2 linked regions of the Rhinolophus ferrumequinum genome follow. The protein of the gene in region 2 interacts with the protein of the main gene of each other region in a biochemical or structural test. Links are inferred from orthologs where the notes say so. Each region holds a gene or a part of one and is shown on either strand. Other genes may lie near its edges. The genes, in order: FMR1 and NUFIP2.

What was found.
Region 1: the proteins of NUFIP2 (region 2) and FMR1 form a complex in vitro, tested with the Homo sapiens proteins (2 studies listed by BioGRID and IntAct, with this or other methods). The link is inferred for Rhinolophus ferrumequinum from reciprocal best matches to the Homo sapiens genes NUFIP2 and FMR1.

What each region holds. Positions count from the first base shown.
Region 1 is NC_046284.1:10,596,825-10,600,734, forward strand, and holds the start of FMR1 (fragile X messenger ribonucleoprotein 1), read right to left. Parts: upstream 2,527-3,910; 5' UTR 2,284-2,526; coding exon 2,233-2,283; intron 1-2,232.
Region 2 is NC_046304.1:18,309,316-18,313,225, reverse strand, and holds the start of NUFIP2 (FMR1-interacting protein NUFIP2), read right to left. Parts: upstream 2,884-3,910; 5' UTR 2,761-2,883; coding exon 2,484-2,760; intron 1-2,483. UniProt on the Homo sapiens protein: Binds RNA.

The sequences.
Region 1 (3,910 bases), on a different chromosome or scaffold from region 2:
ACATTTCTTCATAACAGTTCATTTTTTTTATTGGTCTTTATTTCTCATCCTTTCTACCCATCTCACTGGACAAGCAACTCAGTTTACTTTTGCAACTCAGCAATATTTTGAGTCTTATAAAATTTTAATCCTTCTTCATTATAGAAACTATTTTTCCACCAATACAGACCATTTGAGATTTTCTTAAAAACAAACCGAATTAAATAAACATAACAGCAATTTCTTTAAGCACATTTGTTCAAGTTTCACTTCCCCCCAGCCCCAAGGAACTACAGGACAACCCATTTTTTTATTCACCTTTACATTAAGCAACTTTGTTAAAAAACAAAAAGGGAGGACTACTGGCAAAGATAGAGGGCATTTGTTATCTTCTAATGAGTTTGCAAGCAAAATCATGCGAGCAAACATAGGTTGCTGGAGAACAATACATCCTTCAGATCGAGCTGTGCTACTTGCTACTCTATAGCAAGCAAACTCCACTAAAAGATACATAGTGGCATGCGATCTAAACTAAGGTCATAGATTAGGATACTGTTCAAACATTAGCCCCATTCATATTTATTAATAGTGTCACAAATCTAGTGAGCAAAACTACCAGTCTTGGAACCAGAATAATTCTACACAAACTTAACCAGCAGAAATTATGAATCACTGAAATAAACGCAACCAAAATTTTGACTGCCCAGTCCCCTGGAACAATTTTATATTGGTGAGAGTGTTAAGAACATAAATGTTGGATTATTTCCTCCTCCTTTTACAGTGAAAGGTTTTATCTTTTTGCTAAATGTATGGTACAGTTTACATGTACATGCTTCACTCACTTACGAAATATATTAATTTGCAAATACTTCCAAAAAATTGGTAAACACATAGTTAGTAAGTCAATTTTTGTTACTTTCCTTTAGCGAAAGGGGGTCTCATCTGAAACGTTTAAGTGATCCCGTAATAATGGTAAGAATCGTGTTGGACAATGGCAATAGCTAATTTCCATGCTTCCTTTCATATGCATCTTCTATTGAGAAAAGACTGTAGTAAAGTGAGATAATACTTGCTGAAGTTATAGAGGGACATTGAAGAGGAAATGGGAATTTATAGATTAGCAGATCTATGGTATGTACCAAGACGCACTGCTGATAGGTCAAAATATTTTTAATTCTCCTTCTAAAAATGTAATATATTAGTGATCTGCATAGGTGTAACTTAAAAAAGAAAAACCCACAGTAAACCATGTATGCCTATTTAAAACCCCCACAATACAATCCACTGCAACACTGCACATTCAGGGAAGACAGTCAAGTACTTACAGCACAAAACAATTGTTTCCACTCACTTTAAAAAATTCCCTAGTAATAACATTTAGTTAATTTCCTGAAGTTTGATAGCATGTATGCAGGTCTTTGGAGGGTTAAAATTTTGTTTTTTAAGTAGCAGAGTTGCTAATGATTTTAGATGCTGAAGCATCTGTATTCCTGAATTTGTCCACATTTGTAACAAGGGAGGGGGCCGAGAACATTGAAGACTGCCAACTTCTTTAATGCATTAGTCGGATAAGTATCTTCCGAAAAGTTTGGGATCTAAAAATCTCTTCTGAAATCCACAAAGAGAGGGCACTAAAAATCAGTTGCCATTGTGATTTGGTACTGACTACAGCTTCTTACTCCTCTTTCTTCAAACCCCTTGCCCAGAACAGTGGAGCTCTCCGAAGTCCCAATGCTGGACCGGAAAACAGAAGCCAAAGGAGATCTCAAACCCTCTGTGCAAGGCAGGAGGCGGCTCGACGGAAGCGCCCCCCGCTCTTCGGCAACTACCCACACGTCAGGCCCGGAACCCACTGGGAGAGAATATTTAGGAAAAGAGAAATAAGCCGTTGCCGTCACTTCGCGCGGATACCGGCCCTTCCCGCCGGGATCTCGATCGCGTACCTGCCGCCGGCCCTTGCCCACCCCCAGCTCTGCCTGGCAGGGATCGTCCCCCGAAAGGGCACCCTCGCCTCCTTGCCGCTTCTCATTCCGACAGGCGCCAGGGCCTCTTGTAGGAGAGGCAGCGGAGCTCGAGGGGCTTTCTACAGGCCCCAAGTCCGGTCCTTCCCTCCCCAACAACATCCCACCTAGCGCGCCCTGGACCCCGGGCGCGGCGCTCGGGAAGAGGGCCCCAGGCCTGCCTCCCTACGAGGCCGAGAAGAAAAGGGAGGGAAAGAAGGGCGAAGATGGGGCCGGCCCTGGAGCCAAGTACCTTGTAGAAAGCGCCATTGGAGCCCCGCACTTCTACCACCAGCTCCTCCATCTTCTCGACAGCCCTGCTGGCGCCGGGAGCCCGCCCCCGAGAGGTGGGCTGCGGGCGCTCGAGGCCCAGCCGCCGCGCTACCGCACGCCCCCCGGTAGCGGCGCCGCGGTCACTGCCTCCGCCTGCGCTCGCCGTCGGCTCAACGCCCGCTCCGAGGCGGCCCTTCACCGGAAGTGAAACCGAAACGGAGCCGAGCGCCTGACTGAGGCCGAACGCTCCAGCCGCTCCGCGTGTAAACAGTGAAACCGCATCACGTGACCGACGCCGCCCCTCCCCCCGCGGGTTCGGCCCCTCGGCCCCGCCCTCTCTCCCTCCGCGCGGGCCCTGGAGCGCACGCATGCGCGCAGCTCCTACTCGGCTGAGGGGCCGGGCCCAACGTAAGGCGCGCGGGCTTGGCGTGCGCAGACTTAGAGGAGGGCGGGAAGGCGGGAAGGGCGGCGACAGGTCGTACCTGCTGGCGGAGGTCAGGCCGCCTGGTGTCGCCAGGCGAGGGCTAGAGTGCCCATCCCTGTAGACCTGCAAGGGGAGGCGTGGGAAAGGGCCTCCCGTAAAGATCAAGTGCATTCATTTATCTGAGTCCTGGCTGGCTGGGTGTGGAGGGTTTTTGTTTTGGTTTGTTTCTGTTTAAGTGGGGCAGAGCCTGGTTGAGGTGGAGCTGGAGTGGGGCACAAGAATAAAGGTGAAGAATTAGATTGAAGAAGACAAGACTTTGAACTAGTAACAGTGGCAACCACTGCGACCCCGGCCTGTGTGACCCTTAGAGGCAGAAGGTGAGAGTAACGCCGCTCCCTCCCCCAAGACATTTTGGGCTTTCCTGTGGATACATCCTGTGTCCTCCGAGAGGCGATGCAATTGTGTCCGGACCTCTGGAAACGTTAGTCCTGCCTCAGAGCCAGCACTGATCCATGCGCTTCCCTTCCCTCCATTCAGTTTCATAGCTTTACTTGACATATGTAAAAAATGTGTTACACACTTGTTAATTTAGTTACTTAGTTTCCCTACTATTTCACTTACGCCTACCCTGCACCAGAGGGTGTAATGGGCGTGTGGATGGCAGTCACGTACATCGACAGGGGCTCAGGCACCTGTTTCCTTGCAGCCCTCACCCTTCACCCTCCACAGAAGAGCAAACCCCAACTCGTTCTCATCCTTGCCTCTGCAGCCTGCTGTATCCACCTTGACCTAGGTTTCATTTTGAAGGCTTGTATCCAACGGAGAAGTTGCTTGAGCCCATCCTACTGCCAGGCACTGGGCTAAGTGCTAGTGAGACCTTGGTGAAGAAAACAAGGAAACAGACTGTCAGCATTGAACTTGGACCCCCGAGGCCTAGCTGGACATAAAGCAAACGATCAGAAGAGTTCATATGGAGTTGCAACTGTGATAAGGGCTATGCAGCATAGGTACACCTATGACAGTGAGACAGGGCCCAGTCTGGGGTTGGGGAGGGCTGGTCAGAGCTGGGAAGTGACTCCGGTTGGAATGTGACCAGTGAGAGTTCACTGACAGCACTGAGTTGGTGGAGGCGGGGTGAACTGCCCCAGGCTGGTGCCCCAGAACGAGAGGCATCCTTGGGCCTCCAGTTCCCTTCCCACCCCGTTCCTAGCCAGAGCAGCAGTGTTAACTGCTG
Region 2 (3,910 bases):
AATGGACCCAACAAAACTTGAGTCCTGATAAATCTTGCTTTTGGATTAGAAACTGAAATTATTGAGCACATTTAACCCTCTCTTGCGCCCTCTTCTGGATAAAGAAAATCTTCCTCTTTATAGGTTTGTGGGTAATGGGTCAAAAAAGCCCACCTGAACATACTGGATATATTTCAAAAAACCGGTTTTCTTAGTAAATTAGCATTATGCATGCTGAAGCAACAGTAATGTGACTAGGCCGCACATGAAAACCTGCTCATCCCAAATTGTTTATGTTTCTCAAAATTGCTAAGCCCAGTTTGAAGGATGCCACCTTGAACGGTTCACGATCTGCTTCTATATGTAGAGAGGAGTCCTGACGGTATGTATTAATACGTGACCAACAAAATAAAATTTTCCAATCTGAGCAGTAATACTGCCTTATATTCCAAGCAACCATAAGGGAACATTTTCTCACCTTTAAATTGAAAAAGATGAAACGTTAAAAAGATCTAGTGTTGTAGTTTTTAAACTGTTCCAAATCCTTAGGATTAAGCACTCAACACATCTATATATTCATTTCTACTGCACACCATCAGTCCCTACCCCTACCACCTTCAAAAACGGAAGGCCTGACATTTCAATTTCAGTCTTCAAATCACATTAAGTCTGCAACAGAAAAGCAGTGTTTCTCCCGCTCTCAGTAACAGCTTGTATCACATTTGATAGGCTAGGTTTAAGATTCATTTTCTTACCATTCCCTTCATTTCTCTTCAATGTATAAAGAACCCCTATTTTTAAAAATTCCCATGCTTATAAACTTTTAAGTTCATTTCTTCTCAAATATTTTCTAAAACGACTTTTACCCTCAATTTAACGATTGTTAAAAAAACAAGAGTTTTGGGATCAGTAAAGGTTTGAAAAGGGGAAAACACCGTTCCTTTCAAAATGGAAACAAACCTCCCTTATCCGAGGCAAGATGGTAGTGAACCAACCTCACGGATGAGCCATCTCGGTTCACCCTTAAGGACAAGAAATAGGGGTCAAAAAAACTCGCCCCGTACGTACCCCATCCAATCATTTTTCGAATCGCTCGCCTCAAAAATACTACCCATGCCCTGAAGGTAAATGTTGGGGGTGGGGGAAGTAGAGGGAGATAGAACAAGCTTTTCTTGTAAAAACGAACTGCTAGAAGGAAAGGGCCCAAGTGAAAGCCTGAGAGCCGGAGTCGTGAGCGAACCTGGCAGAAGATGAGGTTCCTGTGGCAGAGAAACTCGTGACCCGGGAGCCGGGTTCCCGCTGGGTACCCCACCCGGCCTTCAGGCACCGCCTCTACCCAAAATGTGCCCCCCCCACCCCCAGCCCTCCTGCCCCCGAGGGGCGCCGAGGACCCTGCCCGCGATCCGCGGCCTCCTTCTCCCTCCGCTCTGCCTGGAGACCCGCGCCCCGGCCGCCCGCGCCTCCCGCCTCACCCGGGAGCGGGAAACGCGACGGCCGGCGCGCGGGGCCCAGCGCAGGCCGCTCCCCTCGTGGCCGCTTCCCTCCCCCACCTCAACCGCCCCCGCCCCTCACCCCAGGGACCCGCCCGGGGCCGCGCGGCAGCCACCGGGTTACACAACCCAGCCGGCGACTGGGGGAGGGGGGCCACGAGCCAGCAGCGCCCCCGCAGTGCAGGGGGGCAAGGCGACTGCCGGTGGGGATCCTGAGCTCTCGGCTCCGCCGCGCCGGGTGCCCCTCGACACCCTTCCCCCTCCGCTGCTCAGTGCGCCGGAGTCGGTGACAGGAATCGGCTTCCAACATGGCGGACAGGAAGCGGCCCCGCGAGGAGGAGAGAACATTCCAGCCGCGCCGGCTCTGGGGGGAGCGGGCCCGGAGAGCCGGCCTCGGGAGGAGCCACGGGGTCCGGTGCCCAAAAGGGGCGTCTAGGGATGGAAATGACCCGAGAGACTAGGGGTCCCAACCGCCCCCCCAGACGGGAACCCCAAGGCCACAGGTGGGCTTGAGGTGGCGGTGAGGACACTTCTCAACTCTGCCCACCTATCCTCTCCTCGCCGCCTGCAAAAGGGTCTCGCGACACCACCAGAGTCGGGATTCGCTAGGCCTTTCTGAGTTACACCCTGAAGGATTTGGGGGGCTAGGTTCACCCCAACTAAGGGCCCCCAAATTAAGGTCCCCCCAGGGCCGCAAGAAGGTAAACGGGAAAAGAATAACAACGTTAGACTTCCAAGGCCGACCCTCAGGGTCTTCCTCCAGCCCCGGCGGGGGCCGGGAAGGTCACACTGGCCTGGTTGGGCCTCTCCCATGCTGAGAGGAAGGAGGGCGCTGCAAACCCCGCGGCCCAGCCCGAGATTTGGGAGAATGAAAGGGGGCTTCCCCAGACTCGCACTACACACTGACACTCGCAGCACCCCGACCCGGTCCGCGCTTTCCGGATCCAGCCCCACCCCCATCGCCCCTACCCCCCACCCTGACTCCCCTTCCCCCACTCGTCCTCCCTCCCAGACCTGTTTTCTTCTTCGGCGTTTCCTGGTGCTGCTGGAGGGCGTGTTTCTGCTCATGTTTCAGCGGCTTTGACTGGGCCTTGGGGCTGCCATCGGCTCCATGCTGTAGGTATTGGTGAGGCTGCTGGTGATGGTGGTGGTGATGGTGGTTGTGGCTGTGGTTGTAGAAATAATAATGGTGGTGGTGATGCGACTGCTGCTGCTGCTGCTGGGGGTGATGGTGTGGATGGTGGTGGTTGTGATGGTGCTGAGGCTGTAGCTGGCCGGGCTTCTCCTCCATTGAAAGCGGCTGGGACTCCCTGGCTGAGGCTGCGGGCTGCTGCACCGTCAGGATCTGAGACTGCTTCTTCGGGCTCACTCAGTATATCTGAGCGCGTCTCGCCTGCGCACTGGTTAACCGAGCGATTCTGCGAGATTGGCAGGCGTGCTCCAGCAATCGAGAGGCACGCTGCGCCGCAGGCCCCGCCCTTAGCCCAAATCCTCTGTCCTCCCCCTTCGCCACAGCCTCCTGGCCAACGCCACTTACCCTGTGCAACCTCACAGGGCTGGGCCTTCAACGTCAGCACTATGGCTCTCTCTTCTGTCGCTTTCTCTCCTTCACCATGCAGTCTGCGAACAGCACTTTCTACACTCCTCGCCCACAAACAAGCTCATGTCGAATGTCGGCAGATTCTACGGGCGATTCTACTGGCTTTGGGAGCCATCTGTTGGTTTTGCACCTCGTAGACTCTGTTGGCTTTTTTTTAAAAATCCTTTTCCGGGTAACCGGAGGGGAAGCGCAATTCCTTAACCCTGAGACCACTAAAGGGGCAATACAAAAAAGAGGAAGTAAATAAATACATTTTTAAGAATACAGGAACTTCACAAATCTGCAGATCATTTTGTATTCTGGATTCATTTTGCTTTGTATTCATATGCTAATCTCTTCCTTTCCAGGGAGGGATTATAGGGTTCCACAATGGGGTATCTGTGTAATTTTCTAAAAGGGCACAAAGGGTTTAAATCATTGTTTCTTTGTAGTTGGAGGCAATGGAGAGCGGGAGGAATGAAAATCTAAAATTTACACAGAATTAGTTGTTTTTTTTAACTGCAGGTAAGGTCAACTGTGAAACCAAGATAGATTTTAGAATATGAAGAGTTTCAAGAGGAAAAGAGCACTTTAAAAGTTAAGTTTTTTTTTTTTCTGCATTTATGTAAAATACCGGAATTTGAAGAAATATTCTTGCGTTTTGTAATGTTGATTTAACTTATCCTGCATTATCACATCACAGCCAGATTTTTAAAAGCAAATGTTAGAATCAGGATAGTGGTTACTCAGTAAGGAAAAAAAGGGTTGTGATGATTAGGGGTACGGGTACCTTCTAATATTTTATTTTTTTACCTCGGTGGCGATTATATACATATTTACTTTATAATTATTTCTTAAATTG